Linked DNA regions of Tamandua tetradactyla. The protein of the gene in region 1 interacts with the protein of each later gene in a pairwise test. Links are inferred from orthologs where the notes say so. Each region holds a gene or a part of one and is shown on either strand. Other genes may lie near its edges. The genes, in order: AP3D1 and VAMP7.

Region 1 (16,875 bases):
GCTTCAGTTACATAGTGCTAATTGCCATGGTCTGCTAAATGCCAATCAACATCCTTCTTTTTTTTTTTTCATGGGCAGGCACCGGAATCGAACCCGGGTCCTCTGGCTTCACAGGCAAGCATTCCTGCCTGCTGAGCCACCGTGGCCCACCCTCCCACTATCCAATTTATTTTACCCCTTCTTCTCCCTAACATTTATTTATTTTTATCCACATTTTTTTTTTTTTACTCATCTGTCCATACCTTGGATAAAAGAAGCATCACATACTGACTGAGCATTTAGAACGGAATGATCACATGTTAATGTTTTACTTCGTATGTTGTTAAGTTTTTTTTAATTAATAAATAAATTTTTTTAAAAAAGAAGCATCACAAGGTTTTCACAATCACACTGTAGAAGTTTTGTCTTTACACAATCATTTTCAAGAATCAAAACTACTGGACCGCAGCTCAAGTTTCAGGTACTTCCTTCCAGCCACTCCAATACACCCTAAACTAAGAAGGAATATCTGTATAACGCATAAGAATATCCTCCTGTCTCTGAAATCTCTCAGCCACTAAAACTTTATTTTGTCTCATTTCTCTCCTCCCCCTTCTGGTCAAGAGGGTTTTCTCAATCTCATGATGCCAGGGCTTGGCTCATACCGGGAGTTCTGCCCTATGTTACCAGAGAGATCTGACCCCTGGGAATTATGTCCCACGTAACTCCTGTTGACTCTTAACAACACCTGGGGCTCGAACTGAGCCTCTATAAAGATTTGCCTTCCTGGAATATATAATTTTCAGAGGATTTCCAGGTTATATAAATCCTGCAACTCAGAGGGACCAGTCTTTCCTGGTTTATCAATTAATAATATCCCTCTATCCTTTAGATATGAAAAAGTCAGAAGAGGCATTGCACAGAGATCCCTATACATTGGGGGAATTAAAGGAGGAGGAAGAAGTATACAGGGAAAATGGGATTTAACAAACAAGTATGGCTGCTGAATCACTGTATTAGTATTTCTTCTAGCCTCTAGTATTTTAGAGCAGCTAGAAGGAAAAACCTGAGATGATGGAATGGTAGCCCATGACAAACTATGGAATCTGTTCTGTAACTACTTGTTGAAGGGTACTTTAAAATTATTGCTTTTTTTTCTTTATTTTGTATATATGTTATATTTTACAATAAAATGTTTAAAAAAAAAAGGCTACTGGAGTACAGTTCAACAGTTTCAGGTGTTTCCTTCTAGCTATTCTAATACACTAAAACCTCAAAAGGGATATCCATATAACGCATGAGAATAATCCAGAATAACCTCTCGACTTTGTTCTGAAATCTCCCGTGGGGGCAGAGTGGTCTCACAGAATGAGACCAAGGCAACAAGCCCCTGCTTTCTTTCGGAGTGCTAAGGCTCACTCCACTTCTCTCCCAGGGGTACCAAACCAGTTCCTCTGGCTTCACAAAAAACACGCGGCTGCTAGTTACTCTAAGCAAAGCTTAGCGGTTGAAAAAAACTTCAGACTTGACCACACTATGCTCAAAAACTTTTTAACACCTGGCCACAGAACAGCTGGAGGACTGCTTGCATTCAGGAGAACTCTGCTGCCCAGAGCAGGCATTTATTTGTGCAGTGCCTGCACCCACACTGTACCGACCAGAGGCTCGAGGTGCAGCCTGGTCACCACAAATATAGTCTTTTCCAACACCCAAAATACCCTCTTCCGGAGAAGGAAATGGAACTGCAATGAGATTAATTTCCCAAAGCACAAGTCCAGAAGCCAGCAAAGTAAAGGAGTTTTTTTGCGGTGGGGGGATGGGCAATGGAGGATTCCTGGGCATTGGAGGGTATTAAGCAGCATCCCTGTCCCCACCCCACTCAATGCCAGCAGCACCCCATTCCAAACTGTGACAAACAAAATGTCCCCAGACACTGGGGGTGGACAGAGTATTCCTGGGGGGGAAGGAGGGAGGCAAAACTGCCCCCCATGCTGTTCCTAAGCCGGGACTCATGGTGAAGGCTGCCTCACCAGGCAGGGGTAGAGGGTTTCTAAGGCTCATCTGAGGGGAGGGGCAGCCCAAACAAGGTATCTGGAACAGCACAGGAGAAAAGCTCCCATGATAAGCGTAAGCACGGGAGGGCTTGTGAGCAGCAGCAGAGGGCATTACAGGGGAGGCCACTAGAGAGACTTGGAGATGCCTGGCAGGTGGGACCGCTGAGGCGATGGATGTGCCCTGCAGGTGTAGCATCCCAAGCAGCAAAAAGACACACAGGGGCCCCAACTGAGGGCTGGTGTGCTGCAAGGGGACCAGCAGCAGGCCAGGAGTCAGAGGCAGAGCAAGGATGCTGGCAGTATGGGAAGAAGCAGCAACAATGCTGGGAGGGTATGCATGTGGGGGCAGGAAGGTGGGTGGGCGGGCAGACAGATGGGGGGCGGGAGAGACAACAAAGGCCTTCCTGGGCAGCATTTCCCGTGGCTGCTGCAATAATTCACTATCAGCTGGGTGGCTGTAGTCCACCCAGATCTATTCTTGCATGATCCTGGATACCCTACGTGCAAGGTCACCACTGCTGGTAAAACTGAGGTGCCGTAGGGCAGGTTCCTTCTGAAAGCTCCAGGGCATACCGTTTCCGGGCTGTTTCAGCTCCTAGAAGCACTTGTCTTCCTTGGTGCATGGCTGTATCACTCTGACCTCTACCTCTATTGTCACAGCTACTCTGACCCCCACCGGCCCCCTGCCTTTAAGGACCCTGTGATGACAGTGGGTCCACGTGTGTAGTCCAGGTTCATCTCCCCTCTCACTTGCTTCACTCCTCCTGCAAAAGCCTTTCACCACAGAGGGTGGGGGTGGGGGGTACATCCACGGACTCTGGGGATGGGGTGTCTTGGGGTCATGATCCAGTGACCTGTCAATCACTCTCAGGGTCACTCAAGTCACACATGAAGTGAACAAGAGCTAGCGTGAGACAGCTATGGCCTCCCTGGCTACGGCAGAATGACCAGGAGATGGCATGGACATCCAGACAGGAGACAGAGGAGGAGCCCAGGTACCAGAAGGGAGGAAGCACTTTTTGCCTGGCCCTTAAGAAGGGCAGCACCCCACCAAGGGCCAAGTGGGAGGCCACAGCCAAGGGGAGGCTCGCGTGCTGGCCTGGGCAAATAAATTGAGCAGGAGGACAAGGGAGTCAGTAGGGGCAGAGCAAGGGTCCCAGAGGCTGGGGGGAACAGGTGAGGAGGGTGAGCAGGATCCAACAGAGGAGGCAGGAGTTGTGAGGGAAGAGCAAGGCCCACATCCACCTGACAGCCACACAATCCACAAATGCAGAATAGGGATCACACCTGGGTCAGAAAGTCGAGGTTAACACAAGGTTCTGTCATTATAAGGATACCCCCAGTCTATCGGGGACCAGGGCCAGCGAAAAAAAGTAAGTCCAAGTTCAGTCCAGGGCCTCCCAGTTAAGCCACCAACCCCCAGGTGGGGTTTAGATGTGCAGGATTTTGTCGGGAACAACCCTGGTAAGAGGAAACCGGGTGGAGGGTGGCACAGAGGCACAGCAGTAGGGGGGAACTTGGAGGTGAGTGGAGGGGGAAGTGAGAGTGATGGAAGCATCCTATGAGTTGCCCCCACCTCCAAGGAACAGCCTGCCTCAGTATCTCCATGCACTCAGTGACTGGCTGGCAACAGGGAGATGGGTTCTAGAGCCCAGTGGCTTCCAGAGTTGGGGATCTAGAAGATGCCCCCACAGAGAGGTACCAAGAGACACTCAAAGGGCAGCCTCACCAGGCCTAGGGAGGTAGGAAATAGCTTCCAGGAGACAAAGACTTGTCAGGAAAAAGCAAAGGCAAGAGGGAGGAGGGCCAACCCAAAGAGCAAAGAGCACCTGACCCGAGCAAGAGGCCCAAATTCAGAACGCGCATTTTCTCCAGCCTAGCGATTCTACTTCTAAGAGCCAAGTCAATCCAAACACCAACAGGAACGAGCAAAGACACACAGCCAAGGACGTTATGGAAGCACTGCTTTTCACAGCAAAAACATGGAATTGACTCTAATGCCCACCAAAGCGGAAAGGCGCGACAAACTCTGGTGTGTCCATGCCAGGGAGCTTTGGAAGGAAAAAAGGGAGAGCGTCACGTGCTGGCACTGAAAGCTGCCTGTAACAACGATGGCCCTGGAAGGGCAAGGCACACACGTAACCTTAACACGCAGAGTCAACTGCAACCGCTACGCGTGGAAAAGAATCTCAAAGTACATACACACCATTAGAAATAGCTTACTCAGGAGGAATATAGCATGGGGAGGCATTTAGGAGGGAAGACATTTTTAGCTTTTACTAAATAGCAACAAACTTAAGACAGTTATGAGTGCATTTTATAATTAAAAAAAATTAGAAGTGGTTAAAATGCTTTCTATGTTTTGTATATTTTACAACTAAAAATAAAGTTTTAAAAGACAGGATAGTGGTTCAGTGGTAGAATGCTTGCCTTCCATGTGGGAGAGCCAGGTTTGATTCCAGGACCATGCACCCATAAGTAAAAAAAAGAAGTAAATAAGAGACAGAATAGAATCTATTTGCATTTTGATGCCATATCAATTAAAAATATAAAATAAGGCAAAATCTGGAAATGAACAAAAAAATAAAGATTAAGAAAAGTTTTCACCAAAATATGAAAAGTGCCCACGCAAATAAAACATTAAGTCATTGCTTTCTTTCCAGCCATTTTCCAAGTGGATTCCCATTGTCCTGCCAACATTAACCTTTGTCATAAGGAACGAAACAAATTTGAGCACCAAAAGAACATAACAAGTAAGCCACTATTTTTTTTAAAGCTTTTTTGGTTTGCACCAAGAAATCTATTTTCCATCATCACTCAATACATATGTGAGAGTACACATACATACCCCAAAACAAAATTTCAAGAAACAGTTACTCTAAATACATTAAATCTGGGATTTTCTAGTTTCTTTCTTTCTTTTTTTTTTTTTAAACACAATCCATTAAATCAAATTTACAACCCACTAAGGGGTCATAGCCTGAGGTTTGAAACTTAAACTAGACAATTCCTTACAGTGCTTTAGCTTTTACAACAACTTGCATTGTGTCCCTTCATTCTCCCCTCCGCAACTTGAGGAGGGGAAGGCAGCAGTAACCCCGCTTGGCAGATAAGGAAACAGCATAAAATAGATCAGAGGATGGGGCTATCCAAGGTCAGCCAAGGAATAAGCCTGAGGACTTGAACTCATATCTCCCAAACTTCAGATAATTCATTTTCCAATACACTGGCTTTCAAAGTGGCTTCTGAAGTCATTGCTAACCCTAATTTCTATGATGCGGCAGAAACTTAAAACTAAAATCTATTATAAAACAAATTTGGGAAAAATTACACTGCCACAGAAAAAAACCATGCTAATAGCATTAGCTAGGGGACAGGCTGGGTGGGAGGGAAGAACCTGAGCCAGCCGCGGTTGTAACTACTTTCAAAGAGTGGGGGAATTGAGAAGGTAAGTGGACAGTCATTTGCTGGTCTCCAACCACCCACAAAGGCCACAAGCAGCCCCAGACGAACATGTGGAATCAGAGGTGAGCATCTGAAAAGCACCCCCACCCTCACACTTCTGTTGAGGAGACCAGAGCATCCGAATGTCCTGTTGGAACTCGCCCACCCATCCAGAACAGGGTCACAGGGAGACCTGTAACTTCTTAAGACCGCCAGGGTCCGTCTGGCCCTGCCCTATTTCACGAATGCTTCTACCATACCATCAAGACCCATTTTAATCTGCTCCAAGCCTGGGAGAAGGTAGTCAATTATTCACACCAGTTCTCAGTGAAGAACCGGAGGCTGGGGCTATTTTCCGGGGAGGTTGGGTCCACCTCCCTAAAACACTGGGCCACCCATCCACCTTGTCTCAAGTGCAGGGGCCACAGCTACAGAATCCCAGAACATTCACTATATAAAATGGAAAAAAAATCTGGGGATCCTACTGCAACATAAATTTAGTTAGCCACCACCAGTGAATAGAATCCAGAAAGACCAGTTATTTTCACCTGGATAGGAAACTTGAAAGGACTGTACAAGTGAGCTATAAAAGTTGCTAAGTAGGGAAAAAAAAAAAGTGGCTAAGGAAAGCTTCTAATAAGCAAAACCAAAGTGGAGCTAAAGAGAAGGGAGAAATAAACAAAAATAATCCAACTGCATTTCAGGTCACACCAATTCTGAAAAAGGGTAGCAAAATGCAAGAGCCCAGGGAACAGGGACTCAGCTGGGGGCACCTAGGGGTCTCACAGCAAATTTCTTAACTTCTCTGCAAAAAAATCTTTACTGGGGTCAAGGGCAGGTAAGTGTACCATCTGGCTTCTGCTTTCCTGTGGATAGCGCGTTTCTCTCTGGGCTGGAGGTGGCCTTTTTAAGGCTTCCACTGTGTAAGTGGCTTCCTCCAATGAGGCCCTCGGAGGTTCCTGGCCACTAACTGTCCCAATTCTTCCTTAATCTAGGTCACAGGCTGGGGGTAGGGAGGGAAGGAAACGATGCCCGCAGCTAAAATTTTACTTCTGGAAAATGCTTTCCTCCCACGGGCTCCGGTTTCTGCCAGAAGTCCGCTTCCCTATTCCAGGAGCCCCTGCTTCCCTCCTTGAGATGAGGAGCTTGCTGCCTTGCCCGCACACAGCCCCCGCCCCACGCCCCCCAACCCCCCCCCCTCAGAAACCCCATCCCTCTGGAAGCACAGGCCTAGAGAGCAAGGCCCTGAGACCCCGCCCGGTTCTGGATCATGCCCCACGAAGTGTGAGCTGAACACCGGCATTTGCCCGCTAAGGGGTCTCTCCAGGGCCGGCCCGCAGACCCCCTGCCTCGATCTCCCCGGGGGCGCTGCCAACGACAAGGGTTCCCCCAACGAGGAATCCAGAGACCTGGGGAGTGGCTCCGGACGCTGAACACTTTAACAGGTGATTCGGGAACGCACTCGGGTCGGAGAACCGTGGGCGAGGACCTGCGAGGTGTTCCAGGAACGCCCGCGGCAGTCGTGGCCACCCGGGGTGGGGGACGCGGGCCCGGATCGCCCAGCGGGAAACTAAGGCAGCGGAGGGAGGCCGCCCAGCCGCGGGGCGCGGGACGCTGCACCTTTAACAGCGACACCACCCCTCCCCTCAAGATGATCCGACACACGCGAGGAAGCGACAACCGCTTGTTAGCGACCCTGGGCCTCCCCAGGGGAGGGGCGGGTCTCAGGGTGGGGAAACTAAGGCTTGAGGAGGGCGGGGGCCACAGCGCCGAAGGCCACGCGGCAGAAGCGCCTTGAAGATGGCTTGGGAGGTCCATGAGGGGCTCCGGGAGGCCCCGGGGGGTGCAAGCCCGGGGTCGGGCAGGGCCGGGGCCAGCGGGGGGCGGCGGGCTCACCTCGTCCTCCTTGTGGTTGCGGATGCCGCGGACAAGGTCTTGCAAGTTCTTGTCGAACATGCGGTCGATGCTGCCCTTGACCATCTTGAGGGCCATCGCGGAAGCCGACGGGGAACGCGCCGGCCTCGAGCCCCGGGAGGCCCGGAGACGGGCGCGGGGCCGGGGCCCGGGGGTCGCGCCTGCCGCCCGCGGAGGGCTGAGCTGCCGGCCGCCGCGGCGGGGCTGACTCCCAGGCCAGGTCGGCGGCTGGGTCCTTTGAGGAGGAGGAGGAAGCGGCGGTGGCGGCGACCCGCTTCGTAGGGGCCGCGCTCCCAGTCAGGGCCGATTGCAAATGGTGGACAAGATGGCGGCAGGTCAGCTGACGGCGGGCACCCGGGTCCCCACCGCCCCGCCCTCCGGAAGCCCCGCCTCCTTGAAGGCTTCACCCCTCCGCCTCCGGGGCAGCGTTTCCCTGACGACGCCAGGTTGCCCAATAGGAACGCCGACACCGCCCTCTCAGAACGCCCTGCCGTCTCAGGACTTTTCCCCCTCATTGGTCAGTGGCCTCCAGGACTCCGCCTACTTCCGCCTTCCAGGTTCTAGACACACCCCCTCCAGGTGCCCGGCTGTGCCACGCCTCTCCACGACTGACGTCCGAAGGCGGGGCGCCCACGTGGAGCCTTCAGGCCAGCTCCTGGGGACCTATCCAGCGGCCCCTCTCCCTTCCTTCTGGATCTGAAAGCTGATGCTGCCCGAGGTCTTGCAAACCCGACAACGTCGGGGTCGAACCCTGCTTCTTCTCTCAGGCAGCCGGGCACCGTCCTGCGATGTGGGCAGCACAGGGATTTCCAAAAAACGGAACAGAGGACTTTTCCCGAATATGGTTAAGCGAAAAACCCAAGACAAAACGAAGTCTAAAAAATCCCAAAGGAAAGGAAAACCCAGTTAAAAACACAGCTAATGAAAGAAACGTCCAAAATGGCTTCAGGAAAAAAGACATCCAAATGGCCAATAAGCATATTTTTTAAAGTGTCCTATATCGTTAGTCATCAGTTAACAAAAATTAAACCCAGAACGAGCCACCTCTACATCCTCACTAAATTAAAAAGACTAAAATTTGAAAGATCGCAATATCAAGTGTTGAAAAAATGCCATATAAAATGGCACAACTATTTTGGAAAACAAGTAGTTTCTACTAAAGCTGACATAAATGTGCTTTATGATGCAGCAGTTTCACTATTGGGTGTATTGCCAACAGGAACACGTGAGTCTATCCAACGATGTGAACAAGAGTGTTCACAGCAGCTTTATTCGTGTTAGCCAAAAATCCAGGACAAATGTTTATCAACTTAAAATAGATAAATAGTATGATATAGTCGTATCATGGAATATTACACAAATTACTGATACATAAAGGAAATGAATGAATTACACAGGCATGAAGTTGAGCAAATTAAGCCAGACACAAAAGAGTGCACCCTATATAATTCTATCCATGTGAAGTTCAAGAACAGGCAAAATGAATCTGTAGTAACCGAGTGAAGTAACTTGTCCTAGGTCACACAACTATATCTGGGAGAGCTGAAATTGTGTTTAAATAAAAAATCTGATAATGTCCATGCAATGGATTTCTGCCTTTTTGAAGGAATGTGTTAGGTAATTGCTCTGGGAATTGGTCTCCCAGCCTTAACTAGAAAACGTGACAAAATATGTGAGACAGTGGTTTTCACACATTACACAGGAAGCAGTGCAGCACTGGGATTCCTGAGAGAAAGGAAATGAACAAGGTTAGCCCTGCACAGCCCCAGCTTTCTGCCTGGAGACAATTTCCAGGCTAGTGTTCTCCCAAATTGAGGCCCTGGATAGGCCTCTCCAGATACTGGAGAGAAGGGAATTACACAGGGAAAGAGCTCTTAATCAATGAGCAGGACAGGTAAGGGGTACGATATGTATGAGTTTTTTCTTTTTTCTTTTCATTTCTTTTTTTGGAGTGATGCAGATGTTCTAAGAAATGATCATGGTGATGATTATACAACTATGGATGATATTGTGAGTCATTAATTATATGCCAAGAATGGAGTGTTAGTACGTTAAGAATATTCGTGTTTGTAGGTTGTTATGTTTTGTCAATAAAAATATGAAAATAAAAAAACAAAAAAAGAAAGGATGCTGAATTTTACAACTGCCTTTTCTGTGCTGATCGTGATGACCAGGTGGTTTTTCTCTTTCAATTTGTTAAGAAAAAAAAATTACAATAATTGATTTTCTTGTGTTGAAGCACCCTTGCATACTTGCAATAAAACTCCCTTGACCGAGGTGTGAAAAAAAAAAAAAGCTCTTAAGTTTTCACAGGGCTTCCCTTGAGCTTGTGGCTGAATGTTAAACCACACGTTTATACAGTGAAACTCCAGGAGACAACCGCTGGGGAAAGGACAATTTCCAGATTTAATACAGCTCTGGGAATGTTCGAAGTATCAGCAGCACAGGTCATTTGGTAAAGACTTCAGAACACCTTAAGTGGTAACTTATTTAGAGATAAGCTAGTCCTAGAGTAAAGTCTATTCCAAACTTGCCATACAAATAATAACATAAAATAAAAATAAACAACTTTTAACTTTAAAGGCATGGAAATAAATATCTAAAACAAAGTACACAGGGAACAAAATGAAAGAACCTTATTGTCCTATAGGGCAATATCAGGTAATCTAACATACATATAATTGGCGTTCTAGAAAGAGAGGAAGGAGGAAAAATATATAAAGTGAGTAGCAAAAAAAAATTTTTTTCCAAAATATCATGACAATCATAAATCCACCAACCAAGAGTAAAAACAAAGAAAAGCCCACCAGGCACATCATAATTAAAATGATGGAAACCAAAGATAAATAAAAAAAATTAAAGAATCAAGAGAAAAAGGATACCTTAAGTACATAGAAACAAATATAAGAATGACTGAGATTTTTATCAGAAACTATTCAAGCCAGTAGACAATGAAATAAAAATAGAATTTTACCCCCCGCAACAATATCCTTTAAAAGTGGAGAAAATATGTGTTTTTAGACAAATATAAGTTGAGAAAATGTGATGCCAGTAGACTTAATATTAAAAGAAATGTTAAAAGATGTTCTTTGAAAAGGAGGAAAGTAATACCAAACAAAAATCTGGATCTATGCAAAGAAATGAAGGGAAGAAGAAATATTTAAAATGTGATAAATATCATTTTTAAATTTCCTTAAATGATAATAGACTCTTTAAAGCAACAGTAATGAGTTGTGGAGTTTATAACATGTTTGAAGTAAAACAATACCATGAAGATTGAGAGGTGAAAATGAAAGTATACTTTTGTAAGGGTCTTACATTATGCGTGAAGTAGTATGATATTATTTGAGGGATACAGTGATAACTTAAAACGCATATTGTGCTCCTAGAAAACCCACTTAAAAATAAACTAAAAGATCGTTTCCCAGTGCCTGCCCATGCAAAAAATAAATGAATAAATAAAATTAAAAATTAAAAAAAGACTAAAGGAATAGCTATAATGGGATGATTATGGATATAAAATTGAATAATGAAAAACTCAATCTAAAAGAAAGAAAGTAAAGAAAAAAGTACAAAGAACAGAAGGGACATATAGCAAATATGTAGGGTTTAAACCCAACCCTACTGACAGTTCCATTGAATATAAATGGTCTAAATATTCTAATGAAGGGGCAGCAATTGTCAGAATAGGTTAAAAATAATTCCCTACAGAGTGTTGTCCACTTTAAATATAAAGACACAAATAGTTTAAAAGTGAAAGGATGCAAGCAAAACAATTAAAGGAGAAAAAAAAAAGAACAAGGTTAGAAGACTTAAACTGCCTGATTTCAAGACTTACTATCAAGCTAAGGTAGTTAGAACAGAAGAGAGTCAAGAAATAGACCCACACTTGTGTTTCCTCAATTAATTTACCACAAAAGTGTCAAATAATTGAAAAGGGAAAGAAAAGTCTTTTCAACAAACGGTGCAAGGACAACTGGAAATCCAGATGGAAAAAAAAGTGGTCTGACACTATTGCACATCATATAAAATTAACTCAGAATGGATCATAGACCTATTGTAAAAGCTAAAACTATAAGACTTCTAAAAGAAAAGGGAAGAGAAAAATCTTTTGATACTTGAGGTTAGAGGATTTTTTTTTTTGGATAGGACATAAAAAAGGACAAAGCATTTTTAAAAATGAGAAGATAAACTTTATCAAAATAGTAAATTTGCTCTTAAAATAAAGGTTACAAAAATGAAAATGGCAAGCCACAGTCTGAGAAAAAAATATTTACAATACATATCTGACGAAAGCCTCAAATGAGACTGTACAAATAAAATCCTTCCAACTCAATAATCAGAAAATAAACCCAGAATTTTTAATGGGCAATATATTTGAACTGACACTTTAGCAAAGTGAAATGAATGGCAAAAAAAAAAAAATCCAAACCATAATGAAACTATAAAATCACCCAACAAAGAATGAATGACCAATAAGCACATGAAAAGGGACTTAACGTAATTAGTCACTAAGGAAATGCTCCCCAAGGGGCTATCCCAACATGCCTAATAATAGAATGGCTAAAATTTGAAAGTGTGAAAACAGCTGGGGAAAATGCAGAGAGGTACAACCACTTTGGAAAACAGCTCTGCAGTTCTGTTAGCAAAGGTAAACATACATTTACTACAGGACCCAGCAATCTCATCCTAAGGGGAATAAAAACATATTTCCCAACAAAGACTTATACACAAATGTTCACAGAAAAAAATAGATTAGAGAAAAGATTAGATAGATTATGGATAGATAGAATGATATAAAACTGTGGCAAAACATTGAAAGTTGGCAAATCTGGGTATCTAGATGGGGGGGTATTTTGGAGTTCTCTACTGTTTTTGTATTATTTTTGTAATTTTCCTGTAAGTTTGAAATTGTTTCCAAACAAAAAGCTGGTAAAAAATGAAAAGAAAAAAAAAAGGTCTAAAAGTCTTAAGCTTCCGATTTAAGAAGCTAGAAAAAGAGAAGCAAATTAAACCCAAAGTAGAAAAGAGGAATGGGCAATATATTTGAACTGACACTTTAGCAAAGTGAAATGAATGGCAAAAAAAAAAAAAATCCAAACCATAATGAAACTATAAAATCACCCAACAAAGAATGAATGACCAATAAGCACATGAAAAGGGACTTAACGTAATTAGTCACTAAGGAGAGTACACTAAGAAGAGTAATCAGTGAAATATAAAATGGAAAACAATAGAGAAAAGGATGTCTCCCCTCACCACTCCTATTCAAAAGCATACTGGAGAAGGAAAAAAAAATTATGCGGGAAGTCACAGCTAATACGATAAGACAGGAAAAGGATATAAAAATTATACAGGCTAGGAAGGAAAGAATAAAACTGGTTTTGTTTTGAAGATCCTTATCCATGTAGAAAATCCAGCAAGAACTAATTAAAAAAAAAAAAAAAAAAACAACCTGGTTCTAATAATCGATTATAACAAGTTTGCAAGATATCAGATTAATACATAAAAGTCAGTTGCCTTCCTCTGTACCGGCAATGAGCAATGAGAATTTGAACTTAAAAACACAACACTCAGTGGGGACAACCAAAGCAATAGGCAGAGCCCTCAATCTGGGGGGTTGTTCATATGAAGCTTATCCCCACAAAGGATAGGCTAACCCTACTTAAAATTAGGCCTAAGAGTCACCCCCAGAGAACCTCTTTTGTTGCTCAGATGTGGCCTCTCTCTCTCTCAGCCAACACGGCAAGCAAATTCACTGCCCTCCCTCTGTCTACCTGGGACGTGACTCCCAGGGGTGTGGAACTTCCTGGCCACGTGGGACAGAAATCCTAGAATGAGCTGGAACTCAGCATCAAGGGACTGAGAAAACCTTCTTGACCAAAAGGGGGAATAGAGAAATGAGACAAAATCAAGTGTCAGTGGCTGAGAGATTCCCAACAGAGTCAAGAGATTATCCTGGAGGTAATTCTTACACGTTATATAGATATCACCTTTTTAGTTGAGGTGTAACAGAGAGGCTGGAAGGAACTGCCTGAAAATGTAGAGCTGTGTTCCAGTAGCCTTGTTTCTTGTAGATAATTGTATAATGATATAGCTTTCGCAGTGTGAATGTGTGATTGTGAAAACCTTGTGTCTTATGCTCCTTTTATCTATGGTACAGACAGACGAGTAAAACATATGGATTAAAAATAAATAAATAATAGGGGGAACAAATTTTAAAATAAATTTAGTAGATTGAAATGCTAGTGATCAATGAAAGGGAGGGGTAAGGGGTATGGTGTGTATGATTTTTTTTTCCTGTTTTCTGAATTGATGCAAATGTTCTAAGAAATCATCGTGATGACGAATATACAACTCTGTGATGATACTGTGAGTTACTGATTATATATCAAGAATGGAATGATCATATGGGAAGAATGTTTGTGTTTCTATGTTGTTATGTTGAATAATAATAAAGAAAAAACACAACACTGTTTACATTCGCACCAAAAGAAAAAGAAAAAGAAACAAGTTTGGTATATATCTAACAAAATATAAGCAAGGTCTATATGAAGAAAACAAAAAACCCTGACGAAAGAAATTTTAAAAAGGTCTAAATAAATGGAGAGATATTCCATGTTCATGACTAGGAAGGCCAAATATTATTAAGATGCCAATTCTTTCCAACTTGGTATACAGGTTCAAAGCAATGTCAATCAAAATCCCAGCAAGTTATTTTATGGTTTTCGAACAAGTGATTGTAAAGTTTATATGGAAAGGTAGCAGACCCCAAAAGCCGACGTAACAGTGGGACCTTGCTCTAGAAAATGCCAAAGTATCCACAGAGACAGGAAGCGACGAGTGATTGCTTGGGGACAGAGGGCAGGAAGAGGCAGTTCATTAGTGGCTCTATAAATACTATTGCCATACTGAAGGTGAACATGATTGAAAGGGGTTGTATAGAGCCATGTATCCCACCGATTAACACTATAAATATAAATAAGCTTTGGCAGTGAAAGGGGAGCAGTGGAGTGAACCAGTTGTGCTGTGAGACAGGCACAGCCAGAGCTAGGCTAGCAAAAAGCAAGCCAAATAAAGAGTAAGATTGCAACTATGGGGCGGGCCACGGTGGCTCAGCAGGTAGAGTTCTCTCCTGCCATGCCAGAGACCCGGGTTGAGTCCTGGTGCCTGCCCATGTAAAAAAAAAAAGTAAGATTTGCAACTATGAGGAAATTCAGAAGAGGCTCGTGTCAGGGAGTCAGAGGAAAGCACCAGGGAAGGAGCAACTATTCTCATGAAGAACCGCCAACCGGCCTGTGGGAACCGGAACTTACATGGATCAGGCATGTAGAGCTGCTGAGGAATTTGTCAATATTTACCGTGAAACAATGGGCAAAAGGCAATGGGCACTAACCACACTGTATCTCGACAAGGCCACTTTAACATGGAATGGGAATGTTGCTACTGGGCTGGAAGCCCTGGCTAATTTTTTTGAAATGTGGCCTTCTAGTGAGTTCCAGGTCAATATGTTAGCTTGCCAGCCAGTTCATGAGCAAGCTACCCAGTCGTCCCAGACCACAGTTCTCGTTGTGACCAGTGGAACTGGGAAGTTTGATGGAAACAAACAACACTACATCAACCAGAACTTCCTGCTAACTGCTCAGTCCTCTCCTAACAAGACCCTATGGGAGATTGCAAGTGATTGCTTCCATTTTCAGGATTGGGCTAGTAGTTAAAGGGGGCAAAAGTCCATTCTCCTTTGGTCCATTAGTGCTTGCAAGAAAAGTGTATGTGAATTAATACATTTCATTATAGAAGCACTGTAAACTAGTATTGCTGAAACGAAATTTCTTTAACGTTTTTTGATTTCTAGCAGCACCTTTTCTTGCAGCTGCCAGTTTGGATTGTTGCCATTAAGAGCTGCAATGCTAGTTTTTTACATGCCATACATATATTCCACTACAGATGTTGTTTTAGTAATATTGAACATATGATCTCTGTACTAGCATAATCACTGCGAACCCAGCCTACGCAAAACTGAAATCCTCTTGTAATACCATTTATGGGCTATCAGCACAATATAACTCTCCAATAAGTAGTGGGGTTTTTTGGTTATTAGGATAATTTTGCGTAAAACAAACGCCTACTTTCAGTAAACACTGGTAATATGGTTTTATACACTTTTTTTTTTTTTTTTTTTTGGCGTGGGCAGGTACCAGGAATCGAACCCAGGTCTGCCGCATGGCAGGCAAGAACTCTGCCTGCTGAGCCACTGTGGCCTACCCTGGTGATATGGTTTTAATATATGGCTTTTTCCTATCAGTTCAATGAAAATACTACTAATTTGGGTTTGCATAACTACTCTGATATGTTGGAATTACACATAGACATGTTCATTGGTCAACTTTTTTTTATTCTTCATGTTGTTTCTGTTGGCATGTTTTCTTGTAAACTGAGTTAATTGACCAGAGAGGTACATAATGACCTCAATTGATGACCTAAGTATTGGATACATTTAGTGGCTTGAAATGAAGCTCCTTAGAAAGATTTTTCTTGGCATCTCCAGCTCTGTAAATTTAGGTAGTAAATGGTTGTAAAATTGATAGCTTTACTGAGAGGATAGGGAATAAGTAATGTAGAGATCTGGAGTTGGAGTGAAAACTAAGGGGGAGGGCTAGCCAAATGCTAAATATGGGGTGTTTTATTTTCTACCTCCTACAGCTGTAGGCTATTTTAGGATTTCAATCACTAAGGTAATAAATGTACTTGCCAAATGGTCATAAGTGTCATTTTTGTTCTAAGAACGACCCTTTTAAGGTTTTTCTACTTCACCTCATACCAAATCAATATGTCTCAATTTGTTCAAGAATTCATAGGGGTAAAATTGTCAGCAATAAGCCGATCATTGGCAGCTGGGGTCTAACATGAAAGTAGGAAACAAAGCCATTGTCGGCAGCATCAACACACGTTTCTTTTTTTTTTCTTCAACCAGCACAAACTTTGTTTTCTATATAACCCGTTACATCTGAAACATCTGAAACACTTCCAGAAAAAAAAGAAAATTCCTGAAACAGGGAACAGAACAGATCTGTCTTTGAGAACAACGCACACAGGGGAGAGCGCACACGCAGTCCCCACTACCACAAATTACAGCAGTCGAGTTTCCTGCATGTGGGGAAATCGCAGGGGTCAGCACACCCGGAGTGCAATGGACAAGCCTCGCCCTGGGAAAACCACCTTCGTGATCATGGTGTCTCCCCTGCCAGGTAAGCATAAGACACGTTTCTTTAAGACATCCTGAACTCTAAATCTTCCTTCCATATGAACCTTAGGCCCAAAATTTCCTATGTATTAATTGCCCACAAGATAAGTGACTTTTCCCCTGTGTTTTATACTTAATTGCATTATCTTTTTATAACTATTTAAAGTTTAATTTTTTTTATTTTATGAATTGTTCTTCCATGACATTGAACATCTTAGTAAAGTATTTTTTTGCCAAAGA
Region 2 (16,829 bases), on another chromosome or scaffold:
AGCTACACTGACTCAGGAAGAAATAGATATCAACAAACCAATCACAAGTAAAGAGATTCAATCAGTCATCAAAAATCTGCCTACAAAGAAAAGCCCAGGGCCGGATGGTTTCACAGGAGAACTTTTCAAACATTCCAGAAAGAACTAACACCAATTCTGCTCAAACCTTGCCAGAAAATTGTAGAAAAAGGAACCTACCTAACTCATTTTATATAGCTAATATCATCAAAACCAGGTAAAGATGCTATAAGAAAGGAAAACTACAGGTCAATCTCCCTAATGAACATAGATGCAAAAATTCTCAACAAAATACTAGCAAATCGAATCCAACAACACATTAAAAAAATTATACACTACAAACCAAGTGGGGTTTATACCAGGAATGCAAGGATGGTTCAACACACAAAAAAATCAATTAATGTAATAAAGCACATTAAAAAATCAAAAGGGAAAGATCACATGATCATCTGAATTGATGCTGAAAAAGCACTCGACAAAATTCAACATCCTTTTCTGATAAAAACACTCCAAAAGATAGGAATCAAAGGTAACTACCTCAATATGATAAAGGGAATATATGTAAAAACCAATAGCAAGCATCATACTCAATGGAGATAGACTGAAAGATTTCCCCTAAGATCAGGAACAAGATAAGGATGCCCACTGTCACCACTATTATTCAACATTGTGCTAGAAGTTCTAGCTAGAGCAATCAGGCAGGACAAAGAAATAAAAGGCATCCAAATTGGAAAGGAAGAAGTAAAACTCTCATTATTTGCAGATGATATGATACTATACTTGGAAGATCCTGAGAAATCAACAGCAAAGTTATTTGAGCTAATAAACAAATTCAGCAAAGTGGTGGGATATAAAATTAACGTGCAAAACTCATAACGTTTCTATACAGAAGCAGTGACCTAGCTGAGGCGTCAGTTAAGGAAAAAATTCCATTCAAAATAGCAACTAAAAGAATCAAGTAGTTAGGAATGAACTTAAACTAGGGATGTACAGGACTTGTACACAGAAAACTACATAACATTGCTAAAAGAAACTTAAAAAAATTGTTGAACTTAACTGCTTTGTTTAATTGCAGATAGTCAAAATTTAAGTTGTAGTGATAGCTTCTAAAAAAGTTATTTCTAGAATGTTAGCCTTTCTAATTGTGTAGGCTGAAATAGTGAATAATTGAGTGAATAAAAATTGAATGAATAATTTCTTGATAAACCTGGACAACTGAATCATGTTACCTTAATAGCTGAAAAAAGGAAGTACTTTCTGTGGGATTTATAATATAAGCAATAACCTTTTCTCCCATTACATCTCTGTCCCAGTCATCCTTTAAGATAGTTTGATTGTGAAGTCAGCTTGGGTTTGACCCCAGAAAAAGCTGCAGTGTATAGAAGGCATTTTGGAACCAAGATCATGCTTGAGTTTGAATTTCTGCTTTGCTTTAATATTCAACAAGGCAGTTAGTCTCTTTGAATCTAAATCCCATCTGCTGCCCCTACCATGTTCACTGTGCCCTTTTTTATATATCTTCATTATGGAGCTGTCTATGAATTGTTTAAAAATATATATTTGTGGCTGAAATTTCAAGAAATGGACTTCAAGATGATACTTTTTATCTCCCAGGGTTGATGGACTATTAACTGAGACCATGTATATTAAGCAACAAAACAGAATGTAAGAAAGCATGCCTGACACATAGTGAAAACTCAAGAACTGCAATCTCTACAAGGGCAGGAACTTTGTTCTGTGTACTGTTGTATTGGTACCTTGGACATAGAAGAAACTCAGTAAATAAATGTTGACTATATAAAACGTTAATGTTGTTCCTTTCCTTCCTCTGCCTATTTTATTCATAAAGTAGCTCTTACATAAATTATCACCGTGCCTTACATATTTGTCTACTTCACACACACACACACACGCGCACACACACACGCAGTGTGAACACATGGCTGTACTCTTCTTAGTCTCCCAGTTCCTGGCCTTCAGCAACCTCCATAGATGCTTGCTAAAGGAAAGCCATTAAACCATATGCTACTTCAGTCCCCTTAAAATTGTAAATGACTTTCCTTTACACTTAGAAATCTGTGTTCTTACAAAAGTGTTTAATCTCTCAGCAAAGTTAATGATATACACAGCTGTGTTAAGCTATAGTAAAGTGTTAGCTGTCAATAATACAACTGTAGAGTTGAGCAAGAGGATATATTTCAGTGATTCTGTGAACCACAGTATGTGTGTGACTGAAATCTCACGACTTGTTTATATAGTTCCCAAAATACTCTCACTATTTTCCAGAATGGATTGGGATAAACAAACTAAAGTAAATACATTCCTCGATTTCATTTGTATTAAACACATAGTCACAGCTTCCAATACTTCAAAATATAGCATCAGAACTGTTACCTTTTCATGTGAGCTACTTCAAGCTTTTTTCTTTGCCTTATAGGGAATCGTGGTCACAGACTTGAAATTGAGGGATATAATGGAAGTAAGCCCTTGTGTTAGGGAGAGCAATGGTCCGAGAGGCAGCTGCGAGGATTTTAGTCCTAGTTCCTCTCCCTCTAACACCAGTGTGATTCAGAGCAAGCCCCTTGGGCCTGGATATATTCGATTATGGGGACGGACTCCATCAGCGGTCCAGTTTTCATGTTATTTTAGCTGCAGTCCCGTGTGAATCCTGAGCAGGGCGAGGAAGGAGTGGATGAAACTCCATTCACTCTCTTCTTGGGGAGCAATGAAAACCAAACAAAAGATGGCCTAGATAGTTGTTAAATCCCTTTGTCGCTGGAAGAAGGTTGCAGAATTGGTCCTGCTTTCTGCCGCTTTCCCCAACTAAGGCCACATTAAAGCGCCGCATTCAATATAGAAAAGAGCGCCCACTTTCGGCTGGGAGAAAGAAAACTAGAAGGTAGGTGCTGTGCCTAATCTTTCCAGCGCACCCCTCCTGGGTGGCTTCCACTTGAGACGCCTTCAGCTTCAGCCGCACAGATGAGTGACGCGAGACTGGACCTTCCCCTTTGTGGCTGTCTCCTGTTCTCTGTTCCCCGCTGGCTGCAAGCTCTGCAGCCCCCCTGGGGTATTTCTACCGAGGTACCTGGACTGTGTACTCCTAAATATTACGCCCCTCACTAGCGTTTGTTCATTGTCTTCAAACCATTTTGCTAAGAAATATGCGCTTCTGCCCCCACTCCCTTCCCCAGCCTGGCATCTTCTTCATCAAAGTCCCGTTCCAAGTGGACACAGCCGAGAATGCAGGAATGGAAACAGAGGAGGCGTGCAGAAGCAAACATGTACTTATGTATCCATCTGGGGCAGTTTCATTTAGTCAACCACTAATGATTATCCACTCCTCCATGAATTTCCTCTAAGGAGCTTCCGAACAGTGATGCAAGAGGAGCTAGGGCTAAGAAGCCAAAACCAGGGGATGCAAATCCCGTGCTACAATAGCCTTGCGACTTAACACTTTGGCTTCCGTATCTGAAAAACAGGTATGATAATAATAATTACTTCATACCGTTATTGCGATGACTAAATAACTGTATGTGTAAGATATATATATATATATATATATATATATATATATACATATACACATATGTATATGCATATATATAATCTTAAAATATATAATAGAATGTTGTTTGGTATCAAGTTTTGTGTTAGCTGTTATTAGTTAGCATTATTTCAATGAACTCTTCTTGAGCATTCACTCTCTGCTAGGTTGAGGATGTATAGAAGTATGCATCCAGAAGCACTTTTCTTGGAAAATATTCACTTTTGCTAACTGTACATATTAATTTATTAGCAGGATAGATGGTGTATTACCATACTAAATAAAGCCAGATAATTTTTTTAAAACATACATCAGATCATATCACTTCCCTACTCGAACCTAATAATTTCCCATTACACTTAGAACAAAATCCAAACTCCTCCTGTTTCACAAATCCCTGCAAGACTCCCTAACTATCCCTCTGCCCCTATCTCCTCACTTCCACTCTTCTCCAGTGACACTGATCTTCTTTCTGTTCCTCAAATATATCAAGCTTCTTTCCACTTTACAATCTTTGTCCCAGCTCTCTCTGCTTGGGATTCTATTCCCTCTTGGCTTCTTGTAATTGAGAATTCAGTTTTAACGTCACCTGCTCAGAGAGGCCTTCTGTGGTTTTCCAACATAAAGGCTTGTACTAGAACCATAAATTTTGTAGCATGGATGAGATCATTTTAAGAAAAAGTATGGAGTAAGAAGAGGGCATTTGATAGAGCCTTGAAAGCTCTTAATGGAGTCATCATTTACCATCCACACAGCTAGTAACTCAGGTCTGTCTACTTTCAAAAGTTATTCTCTTTCAAAAATATTCTGTTGCTTCTCAAAGAAATGGTATCAAATAAAATTGAATTAATGTTAATATAAAGGTAAACCTTTGCAAAGGATGAATGGAGATGAAAAAGAAGCATAAGCTGTTCTGGAAAATGAAGAAGCAATATTTGGAATAGATTGGGAAGAATAATATTTTGACAGGGTAGGTAGCATGTTCAAAGGCAGTGAGGCATAAAAGTATGTGAAATTATTTAGTGCATTTCCAGTTGTACACAGGACAGTTGAGTATTGTTGTGTCTATTGTTTTTTATTTAGAGATAAGTGTGGTTTAATATGATGGGTATAGCTGCCAAGTTGACATGGGGTGGACTGTGATGGTCAGTGCATTTGTCAACTTGGCCAGGTAATGGCTCTCAGTAGTCTGGTCAAGCAAGCACTGACCTGTTACTGCAAGTATATTTTATGAACTTAAATCAGTAAGTTGATGGCATTTATGGCTGAATACACGTACAATCAACTAAAGGCAGTGTCTTCAGCAATGACAGACATTTAATCCAAACATTTGAAGGCTTTTAAAAGGAGAAGTGATGACTTCAGCAGTCAGAAGGGAGAATTTTTATCTCTACTTCAGTCAACCAGCCTCTACTGGGGAATTCAACAAAAACATTCATTAGAATTGCCAGCTTGCAGCCTGCCCTGCAGAATTTGGACTCATGCATCCTCACAATTGAGTGAGACACTTTTATAAAATTTTATAATGTTAACAGATATCTCCTGTTGGTTGTTTCCCTAGAGAACCCTGACTGATGCACTATCTTTGCAATTTTTCTGTAAATCTGAAATTATTCTAAAATAAAATGTATTTTAAAAAGTATGTAGTATTGAGTGTTAACTCCATGAAGGCAGGGGCATTTTCGTATTGTTCACTGTCATACCTCCAGCATCGAGAACAGGACCTTGCTCATAGTAGGCACTTAGCACATATTTGCTGAAGGAATGGATGAATGAATAAATGAATGCATGACACTATACAGGAAGAGGCTTGAATACAGGGTGTGTTGAAGAGAAAAGCAGAACATGAAGTCATACTCAATACAAAATTGAAGTGTATATGTAGATTCTTTGATCCTGAGACATATGTGTATAAATTGGTATTTTCCTGGAACTTTGAGTACTTCTGTGACACTTAAGATTCAGAGCTGTAGTTCTGCAGCTCTGAAATTCAGCATGGCTACATACAACTGTTTAACAACAGTTAAAGAAACCAAAAAAGAGATCAGGCATCCATTAAAGATGAGAATGAAGCTGATCTTGTTGGGACTAAGGTAAATCAGAATGCAGGGTAAACGATGATAGTGTTTGTACTCTAGAGCTTCACCTATTGTGTGAGACCAAAGGCAGAAATGTTTATTGGGTCTAGCACTTAAATTTTCTGTTACACACAATCTAATCAACCTGTCTGGATGGTTCATTTAGACAATCCAAACACATGGAGCCCAGAATGGGAACAAGGCCTTGTAATTCTGTATAGCTTAATGTAACACCTGGAGACATCCCAGAGAATGGTAGGTTGATAATTGAAAAGTATTGGTCGAGTCCCTTGAGAGACTGGACAAAAAAATATGGAAATATTAAATTTTCCCACCTGGGAACCCCCTGCTACTCTCTAGAACATTAGGCAGTCCCCCCCCCAGTATAGGCCAAGCCCTTGATTTTGAGACTTGTCTTTATAAAACTTATTTCTATAGTGAAGAAGCTAAGCCTACCCATAATTATGCCTAATAGTTACTTCCAGGAAATCTCTTTGGTTGCTCAAATGTGGCACCTCTCTCTCTCTCTCTCTCTCTCTCTCTCTCTGCCCAACTCTTCAAGGAAAATTATTACCTTCACCCCATAGGAGACATGACATTCAGGGGTGAAAGTCTCCCTGAAAACATGTGGCATGACTTCCAGGGTTGAGCCTGGCCCTGGTATGGAGGGATCGACAATGCCTTCTGGTCTAAAAGTGGGAAAAGAAATGTAGCAAAATAAGGTATCAGTGCCTAAAAGAGTTCAAATGGAGTTGAGAGGTATTCTGGAGACTACTCTTATGCAAGTTTCAGTTAGATATTGCTAATTACCAGGATTTGCAAAATTCCGACTAACATGATTCCTGCCAAACTTAAAGAACATCTAGGGCTCTATCTGAGATTCTACAAATGATCCATGCACTGGGTTTACTTTCCAGAAACTTACAACCTCCAGATGAGTTCCTAGGCCAGTTAAGTCTCGAGATGCAGAGGGGTCAGCTTTTACATCACATAATTCCATTTCCCTATCCCATATTGTCAAGACAGCCTTTCAACCTGAAAAAGTTAGAATGGGCAAAGCCCTAATATCCCTAAAGATTGTGAGAACAATCAAAGGAGAAGGAGTTATAGCAGAGAAGATAGAATTTAACAAACGAATATGACTGCTGAATCACTATAATGATATTTCTTTTAGCTTCCAGTGTTTTGGAGCTGCTAGAAGGAAAAAGCTGAAAATGTGGAACGGTAACCATACCAAATTCTGAAATCTGTTCTACAACTAATTGTTGTGGTGTTCTCTGAAATTTATTCCTTTTTAAATGTATATATGTTATATTTCACACTAAAAACCGTTTTTTTTAAAGCAAAAGCAAAACCAAAAACATTTTCTTTTTAAAGGGAGGCAATAATCCACAGTGTAAAAATCCTGCAGAGATGATGTAACATAATGGCTGAAAATGCCTATTGGTTTTAGCAACACTATTGAGAATTTTGGCTGGGAAGGAGAGGTGGGAGAAAGACCACTAGCTTAAGTCTGTGTGGTGAGGGCATTAGGGGAAGTTGGTTTGAGAAAGGTGACTGGAATTTTTTTAGATAAGAGAAATGCTGGCAATCTTTAAATGCTGATCATAAAGAGCGTGTAAGCAGGCAGCCGTTTAAGAGTCGGGAGACAGGGATTAAATGAGTTGGAAGGAGGAAATACGGATGTAAGGGGCGGTGTGTTTAAATCAAGAGTAGATTATTGTTGTTGCAAAAGAATGGGAGAAAGGAGAGGTGAAGGATACAAGGAGGTTGGGAAACAGTGGCGAAAGTAGAGGGAGTTCTTGTTAGATAAATGCTCTTCTGTCTGTGAAGTAGGCGACATTCTCCGCTGAAAGTAAACGAGGCTCCGGCGGGGCGAGCCAGCCTCTCATTTATCGCGCCAACGCCATTTGATAGACTCCTTCTGTCCTCCTGCAGCCGCTCATTTTCCCCTCTTGGCTCGGCGCTTGGTAAGCAGTTACGACAGAACTGTTGACCGAACGCCTGACAGACTCAGAGAGACGGAAGACGGAACTAACACTCCCAGAATGCAGTCCGGTTCTTGGGAAATGCAGGGGCAGGGAAAGCAGCAGGCCCTGCCCCGCTGACGACTCCCATTGGAAGAGAGCTCACATTCCCAGGAGGCTGCGCGCGGGCGGGGCGCTTCACACGGAAGTCGGCGGCATTGGGGTCTAGCCTCCCTCGGGAGCTCAAAGTTGGCTACCCCACGTCCAGAACCCGCGCTCTTGCAGAGGGCGCTGGACAGGTACGTAAAGGGTGCGCTCAGTAACAAAGTGGGGGACTAGACAGCAGAGGGGAAGGCGGGGGTGGCCAGGAAGGTACCGAAGTAGAGTGAGGAGGCAATGGGAGGGTGACTCGGAATTCTCTGAGGTCCACATTTCGAATTGTCGGGCAGATCCAGTTTGGATGAAGTGCGTTTTATGCCTGTGATAAATCCTCAGGTTAAAGAAAGCCATAATGTGTCACTTCATTTGTTGTTAACAGGAAGGAAAATGTTGACTTTGTCAGTTAGCATTCCCAGGACATCACCTTAGCATTTGAATCTCTTAATCACCTGAGTCTTTTAAAATCGCCTCTATGCCCTTGCTTCGGTGACGTCACTCTTCTGCTTCACCTTCTACTTCGGAAGTCTACTGCTCAGTAGTGGGTTCTAACCCTCTTCACGCCCCTCCTCCACCACCAAATGTTGACATTCATCTTCCTCTTCAGTTCAAATACGAACTCTGTATCTCTTGCCCAAATCGGCTTCCTGAGCGTCAGATGTGTTTGTTATTATTACTATTATTATTTTTAATGGTCAATATTTATCAAATTCTATATTCTAGACTCCTTGGTAAGTGGTTTACATATCCCTCTCTCAGAACCCCTATAAACAATTATCAAGACCTTTTCTTTCCGTCTTATTAATTGCTCTGAACTACCTGTACTTCCATTTTCCCACCCTTAATCCCAGAAGATGCTGTCATGTTTGGGGCATTCTTTCTCATTTGAATACATTTGGCTTGGAGCAGATTCATTCATTCGTTTAATAAATGTTTATTGAACAGCGCATATACACCACAGAGTTTTCTAAGTGCTAGGGATATATTTGTAAATAAGACAAAAGAGGTCAGTGCTCTCCAGAGCTTCCGTATTTTGGGGACAGGGGCGTGGGGGGGGTACAAAAAGGAATAAACAAGATGATATGGTGGTTAATGCAAAATAAAACAGACGGTTTATTTTACAGAGTGGGATCCTGTCCTAACAGAGGGATTAGCTTGAGTCTTAGAGCATCACCCTAGAAGAATATTTGTGATACACACAGTACCTGATCTGTGATCAGGCTTCAGACTTTTCATAAATGTCCTTTCTTTTCTTTTGTCTATCATATTATAGCAATATTTGTTTTTCATTCTTCTGTCTCCTCCAAGGTTGTTATTTCAGAATTGGTGGTTTATTTCTCATTGGTTTATTTCCTCCTAAGACCCAGAAAGAAGAGTTAGGGTTTGATTACTATCAGCTCAACTTCTTTATTTTAGAGAGATAGTTTGGTAATCAAAATATTCTTCTTTCCAGGGCCTAGTGACTATAAATCTATCATTTACAAGTATATTTAACCACAGGCTCAGTATTCACTCATTTATTCAATATATATTTGAGAGAATATTTATACTGTGCACTGTACTGAGCACTGAGAACATTGTGAGGGTAAAGTAGACATTTTAACCTCTCTTCCAAGGAAAAGTAATCATAATAATATACTGAGGGAATGCCTAATGAATAGGCTGATATCTGCATTCCTTTTTCTTCATCCAAGGTGAGATAATCACAAAACTTTCATTGTGTACATTCTTAGATTATTCACTTATTTCAATTTATTGCATTTATTTATATCTGTCTTCCCCATCCCATTGTACTGTGGAACTTGTGAGTATAGGGGTCTTTTCTTACTTATCTGTATATCTCCAGTGTCTTCTACATTGGCTGCCATAGAGTAAAATCTTCAGTACGTATGTGTTGAACTGAAATAGACTCCATTTGATTAAATCCAAATTACTTAATTTATACAAAGCCTCTGTCAGCCTTATCCACTAACCTTCACATTCACTGAATGTGGACCATTCTATCTCATCAAGCAGTTTCTTCACCTTTTCTAGCTTGTTCTCACCTCGGTGCTTTCTCTTGTTCCATAGCTTCCTCCTAAAATTAGTTCCTTCTCTTTCCTGGGTACCCTTTCTCAACTCCACCCCCCACCCCCCGTTACGTTGATGGGCCAATTAATATAATTATATACCCCATAATATAAGAATGAAAAAAAACTTCCCATTGTGTATTTCCTATGAAACATTCTGCTAATGAATTGTTGCAAGAATTCACATAATAAATCCGTTTGCAATAATATAAATGATGATGCAGAATACTTTCTTTTGATTTTTGTGTTGAATGTATTACCATGTATTATAAATTAATTATTCCACTTCATTTCTGTATTTGAACTGTTGCACAACCTTTGTTCGTGAAGCACATTATGGCATCATTTGATTTCCACTTGGTATAAGCATTTCTTTGAGTATTATTTTCTCCTTAGCCTAAGATAATTTATATATTAATGTGATTATACCACACTGTCATTTTCAGAGTATCAGGTAAAAGTCTCAATTCTTAAAATAATCTTATTCCACGCAGCTATTTTTCAATTGTCAATCAGTACTGCAAAAAATAAATTTTGTCTGTAACTGATTTTGAAAAACATAGTAGGAATGCATGAGTGCTTGAATTGTAATTGTTATTATGGTTTTAGGATGCCAACCTAAGAGCAGCTAGACTTGCTTCCAAGACATTAAAAATTAAGCACCATCACTTTAAAGGGTTTCTTGGCACCTATACCTTCACAGACATGAATGCATAGGCGGCACTGACTTGTGTGCCATTACTCATTTATGAGATATGTATATAGATGGTCCAGAATATACTTATACATCTTTAATACTAACAAAATAACAATACATAATTGAAAAATTCCTCAGAACACATGGACTCCAGTGTGAAAAATGTTGGCTTGGTCTTTTCCCTTACTCTGTTCTCTGATGCTGTCTTCAACTTTTGCTTGAATGCCTCCACTGAGGAGAAGTGTGCATCACTACTGTGCTTTTTTGTTACTGTCTCTTAAATACAGGAAACTCCTTACTTATAAATGAATATATTCCAGAAGTTCCTTCATAAGATTATTGTTTGAAACTCTGGATGCATTTTTCTCTATAAATAATGCTCTTCATGACAGATTTGTATGTCAGTAGCATCTTGCTTAATCTTAATTTTGTGAATTTAAGACTGTCACCACAATTATAAGAAAAAAATTGCATCCAGAATTCTAACTTGGATTTCCCCATAACATATCTTCTTTTGAATCTCAGCAACTGGAACAAAAATATCCTTTCCTTGGAACTTATTAGACTTCTCAAACACCAAGTTGTGGTGGTTGCTCTTCAGGCCCAGAGCCCTAAGGACAAGCCCCCAAGATATGAGGAAAGGAAAGAGAAGTTTTGGAGATGTAAATATATGGAGAGGTAAGATTAGGATTGATTAAGGAGGAACAGTAAGTTTCTAAAATAGGGGTTCTTAGCAGAAATGAAGTAGAATTAGAATGATGACTGTGGAAAGAAAAGAAGAGAATAAAAGAAGAGAGGAGGAACCATATTGAGACAGGCCTTTCCTTTATATTCTGTTGTCTTTATTTTCCTTTTTCTCTCTCTCTGGTTTGTCTCTTCACTCTTCCTGAGTATTACTTTACATTTATATAATACTTTATGGTTAGTTAGGTATTCATATACTTCTAGTAATTATTAGAGCCAAGTTTTCTAGTTTTTCATTTCTCTGTCTAGGGGACCATATGATTTCTTATCTGTTTCTCTTTGTGTTTTTATTCTACTTACTCTCCTCTACTTTTTGTCTTACTGATCCTAACGAATGGCCTCCTTCCTAATTATAAAGTTTCAGTGACTGTTTCACAGCCTTTGCCTTCATATTCCGTGTCAGTGAGCACAACTAGAAGCTGACACTCAGTCCTTCCTGAAACTTACTTTCTCTTTGGCTTCCATGACACCACATACTTTTGGGTTTTCCTCTGACTTTTCCAGTTGCTTCTCCTCATCTTCTTTGTGGGCCCCTATTTGTCTACCTTCCCCTAAACTGTTGTTGTGTCTTTGGTTTTTTCTTTGGCACTACTCTTTTTATTCTGTGTGTACTCTCTTCAGCAAATAAATTGTGTTTAAAATATCAAGTCTAGATGGGCTCATCAAGAGATAAGAGGGTTCAGAATCAATACCTAAGGAAATTCAACATTTAGAGGTAAGGTGAAAGAAGAGGAGTCATCAGGAAGACAGAAGGAGCAGCCAGAGATGTAGGAAGAGGGTGTTTCAAGAAGGAGGGTTAATCAGCAATGTTTATTATTCTTAGAGGTCAAGTAAGTTGAGAATAAGAGAAGTGACCACTGTGTTTTGCAACAGATTTTCTTGGTGCTCTTAGCAAGCATGGTTTTGTGGAGTGTTAAGGACAAACATCAGAATGTATTAAAGTTGAAGAGCTAAAAGAAGGTGGAGAAGCAGAGATAATGTGTGCACACAAAGACTTTAAGAAATAGAATGTACCTGGAGTATTATAAGGTCAAGGGAGGATTTTAGGATCAAGGAAGATAATGTATGAGGAAGTGATTTGAAATCTATAAATTGTCATGTATGTATGAGGAGAAATGGGAATATGGAAGGAAACTCAAGGGAACAGTCTCAATTAGATAATATAATGAAGAAGCAATTCCAAGAGGAGTTCAGCTCTAGAAACAGAAGTGCCCCTTCTGTTCTGTGTGCTGTGCTTTGGTGCTGGCATTCCAAGAAGGAATCAACAGGTTCCTTGACCTCAAACACGTCCTAATCTTCTTCAGTGTTCACAAAGTATGGTTGTGTGCATTGCCTGAATCCAGACAAGCTTTTTAAAATGCAGATTCCAGGGCCCCACCTCAGGCCTGCTGAGTCAGAATTTCATGGTATAATGCTGAGAATTTGGATTTTTAACATGTGGCTCTCACTGTGCCATCCCAGATGACTCATAATCACACTAAAGTTGGATATAATCCCTGATCTGTTGGGTGAAACTGAGCATGTTAACAAATAACATTAAATTGATGAGTTAGTTGAATAGTAGTATGGTATTTGTTCATCTCTTTTTACAAGTTTATGTCATTAGATAAATAGAAACTGGGCTTTTTTTGTAGGAAAAAAGACAGTACTACTCATATCTAAACATGAGAAAAATAATCTTAAACTCATGCTGTATTGTTTTAGTAAGGTTGTGTTTATGAAAGATCTTACCATAATTTATAAAACTGTTCCTCTTGTTGAATATTTGGGTTGTTTCCACTTTGTTTCTGTTATGGATAATGCCTTTATGCTAGAGATAGCATACAGTATAGGTGAAGAACGTGGATTCCAAAACCTATACTGTTGGAGTTTAAATCCCAGCTCTCTCTCTTCCTAGCTCTATAATTTTTGGCAAATTATTAAAATCGTCTGAGCTTCAGTGTTCTCATCTGTAATATGAGCATCCTGATAGTATATAATTTCATTGACTTGTGTAAGGATTAAATGAGTTAATAATTATAAAGTGCTTAAAATAGTGCCTATACATAGTTAAGCACTTAATAAAAATGGGCTGTTATTATTGTTAATTGGTATATTTGTGAATCTAAAGTCTAACTTCTATTGAACTGATTCCTTAGGATAGATTTTCAGGATGGAATCACTGAATTAAAGGGTAAAGATATGTTTATGTCTCTTTGCTATATATGGTCATTGCTTTTCAAAAGGCAAAAAAACGAATATTAGTTTGTGGTGTATAATTTGTAAATGCAGTCTATCTTTCAGTCTAATGTTTATGTAGCTGATTCTTAACATTCATTGTAGTATGTTTTATAAAGTCGCTATAAATACTGAATTAGTAAATACTGAATTAGCAAATACTGAACCATTGCTCCTAGGGGAAATATGGGATTAGGTTCCTATAATCCTCTGGTCACATTTTTATCAATAGATCAATACTTAACCTTGTTTTATGTGTGTTTTTGTTTAAAGACATTTTATTTAATATGTATATTGTTGACTTATTAATATTGAGCTCACAGCCAGTAGCACTATAACTAACTCATGCCTGAAGGAAGCTTATCTAACACATGTATTTTCTCAGTAAGGCACCTCACAGCCTTCTTGTGCTTGGGACAGTACTTCAGCAGTATGCTTAGGCATTTTAAGTAGTGAAATCATCAACAAAAAGCACAAAAATATGAAAAAGATATGGTACTAAATATACCAGAAAAAGGATTTTTTATACTATGAGAGCTAAAACAAGAAGGCAGAGTGTCACTTTGAGCTCAACTGAGAAAGCGCATGTCTGGCAACTCAGATTTTTCACAGCTCTGTACATGTCGACAAATGACCACGGAAGTGCTGCAAATATTGATTTTGGGGTTACAAATAAATGTTAGCTAGTAGGCAGATTCGCAGATTATGGAATAATGAGGTTCAACTGTATGCATGTATGTATGTGTATGTATTTTGTTTGTCTATAAGTAATATGTGTATCAGTGTGGTTTAGGTTACAAGCTTGTAGCCCTTTTTGCTAAACCTGATTTTAAGCCTGTTGTTAAGTTTAATGTTGTGTGATCTTATTATATAGAATCTTGTTCAATACCATCTCTAGGTAGATGATGATAAATGATAGCAAGTTACTTTTGAAGGATCATGTCAATGAAATATTCTAAATTTTTTTTCTTTTTTTTTTCTTTTTTTCTTTTGATAGATTGAAGCCATGGCCATTCTTTTTGCTGTTGTTGCCAGGGGAACCACTATCCTTGCCAAACATGCTTGGTGTGGAGGAAACTTCCTGGAGGTGACAGAGCAGATTCTGGCTAAGATACCTTCTGAAAATAACAAACTAACGTACTCACATGGCAAGTGAGTTCTGTTGTGCATGTGATAGAGAGTGAAAGGGAATTCTATGTTGTAATCAGAGTAGTAGATAACTAAAAAAGCTTCCTGATAGATAAGTTGAATAAGCTGATAGAGCAATAACCTTTATCAGCTTAGAAAATGTCCATTTTTATTATAAATTTAATTTGTAATTGTATATTATCATTGAAGTATTATTAATAATTTATTTTATATGAAAATGTTATACACAAAACTGATTGATTTTGCTAAAGAGCCCTAAGATATGTGAACCTTGATGCAAATATGATAATAAAAATTCCTTTGTTCATTCTTTCAGTAAGTATTTATTGAGCACTTGCTATTGCCAGGCATTTTGCTCGGTGCTGGGGATACAGTATTTTCCCTCATAGAGACTATGGTTTAGAGAGAAAGAGACAGTCAAATCTATAGATAATTATATAGAAGATAGATATGGAGGTTAAGGAAATAAAATTGCAGGTAGAAGGAGCAACAGATAAAGAGGTATGGAGGCTTGGTATCATAAGGTGTATTAGGGAACTGCAGATTTTTCTCTGTGCCTGGTTCCCAGAGAGGTGAAAGATAAAGCTAGAGAGATGGGTAGAAGAGAAGTCATGTAAGGCCTCATAGGCCACATTAAGAGACTGGACTTTATTCTGAGGGAAGTGGGAAGAAATTGAAGGTTTTTGGCCACAGTGTGACAAGGTCAGGATTTGCTTTACAAAGATCACTCTGATGGCTGGTTGGAGAATGGATTAGAGATGATGTAGATGGGCAGTTTTAGTAATCAAATGGAAAGTGTCTCAACCTTCCTTGTCCATACATAAAAAATTTACTTAATCCGTCTTTATTTCCCTACTTCTTGATCTGCTGTAAGAGAGAGACCCCAAAATACAGTGATTTAAAAGAGATAGTCCAGAGATGAGTGGTTACGAGCTGGTGGAGTGGGTCTGACAGTGTCAATTAGTAGCTTTCATCTTTTGCTAAGGCAACTGTTTCCTCTCAGTTCTTGCCCAGTATTTTTAAAGGCAAGGCCAAAAATGGCCTTATATTTTATTAAGGCCTTAGTTACTGCTTATATTTCATCATTCAGAATATGGTTATATAGCTAACCTAGCTGTAAAGGAAGCCAGAAAATGCAGTGTCTGCCTGTGCAGGCATTTGCTCAGCTAAACTCTGTTACTCTGGAAAAAATTATAGTATTTCAGTTTCAAGGGACAACATGCCATCTATTCCTCTGGCTACCCAAATATCTTGGTATATCCTTCTTCGCAAACATAGAAAATACCCCCTCTCCAAGGGAGATGACCCAAAGACCCATATGTACTGCCCCAAGGCTAAAGTCTCTGTGTGATACATAGTCTTCTGCATCAGGCCCAATTGTGGCTCCTGTGGCCCACTGACCATAGACTAAAAGACAAGTCATCTATTCTTCCTGTTTCCCAAGCCCAACCCAATAGACAATGGTCCATAGGATCACCACGGTTGGAGTTAGGAAAAGGGAAGAATGATAAACGCATAAAACTCATCGCTTCTTACCAATGATTAAATAACTGCTTTGCCACAACTTCAAAGACTCCCTGTTCTCACCATGAGTAGTTAGTGGTTCTGCTTTCTTGTAGAAGTTCCCTTGTCTTTTCTCCATGACTTCTGGCTTTGCTCTCTAAATGGTTCTTCCTGGCCCATTACCCTCTGTGGTCACATCTGAAATGGAAGTTAGAGAGTATGTCATCTTTGAGAACTGTACAGGTTTTGTAGTTTGCTTTCTGTTGGTATAGGTTTGAGGCCCAGAGGTTGTTTTAGGGGTTAAGTAATCACTGTCTCTTGTAGGTATGACTTTATGGTGATATTGTTCTTTCCAAAACTTATTAGGCTTATAGTCTGGGTGTTTCTAGTCAATTCCTGGGAAAACACTGCAGTCCTTTTAGAGGCAAGGCCAAGAAGTAGGATATATATCTTTCACTTCCATTTTAACAGCCAAAAGTTAGTTACATAGCCCTATTTAGCTGTAAGGGAAGCTAGAATATGTAGTCTGATTAAAATGCAGTCATAATGGAAGGCAATGCAATCAATCCAGTCCTGATCCAGTTGTCCCCTATATCCTCTGGGGTGAGATTTCATCACTGAGTTGTGTTTGTTTGTTTTTAAATCTTCTGCCTTGATTTCCTTCTTATAATCATGTTCCATTGTCCC

The links.
Region 2: the proteins of AP3D1 (region 1) and VAMP7 interact in a two-hybrid assay, tested with the Homo sapiens proteins (2 studies listed by BioGRID and IntAct). The link is inferred for Tamandua tetradactyla from reciprocal best matches to the Homo sapiens genes AP3D1 and VAMP7.

What each region holds. Positions count from the first base shown.
Region 1 is NC_135337.1:80,792,475-80,809,349, reverse strand, and holds the start of AP3D1 (AP-3 complex subunit delta-1), read right to left. Parts: upstream 7,543-16,875; 5' UTR 7,470-7,542; coding exon 7,374-7,469; intron 1-7,373. UniProt on the Homo sapiens protein: Part of the AP-3 complex, an adaptor-related complex which is not clathrin-associated. The complex is associated with the Golgi region as well as more peripheral structures.
Region 2 is NC_135353.1:61,966-78,794, reverse strand, and holds the start of VAMP7 (vesicle-associated membrane protein 7), read left to right. Parts: upstream 1-7,768; 5' UTR 7,769-7,906; intron 7,907-14,487; 5' UTR 14,488-14,496; coding exon 14,497-14,642; intron 14,643-16,829. UniProt on the Homo sapiens protein: Involved in the targeting and/or fusion of transport vesicles to their target membrane during transport of proteins from the early endosome to the lysosome. Required for heterotypic fusion of late endosomes with lysosomes and homotypic lysosomal fusion.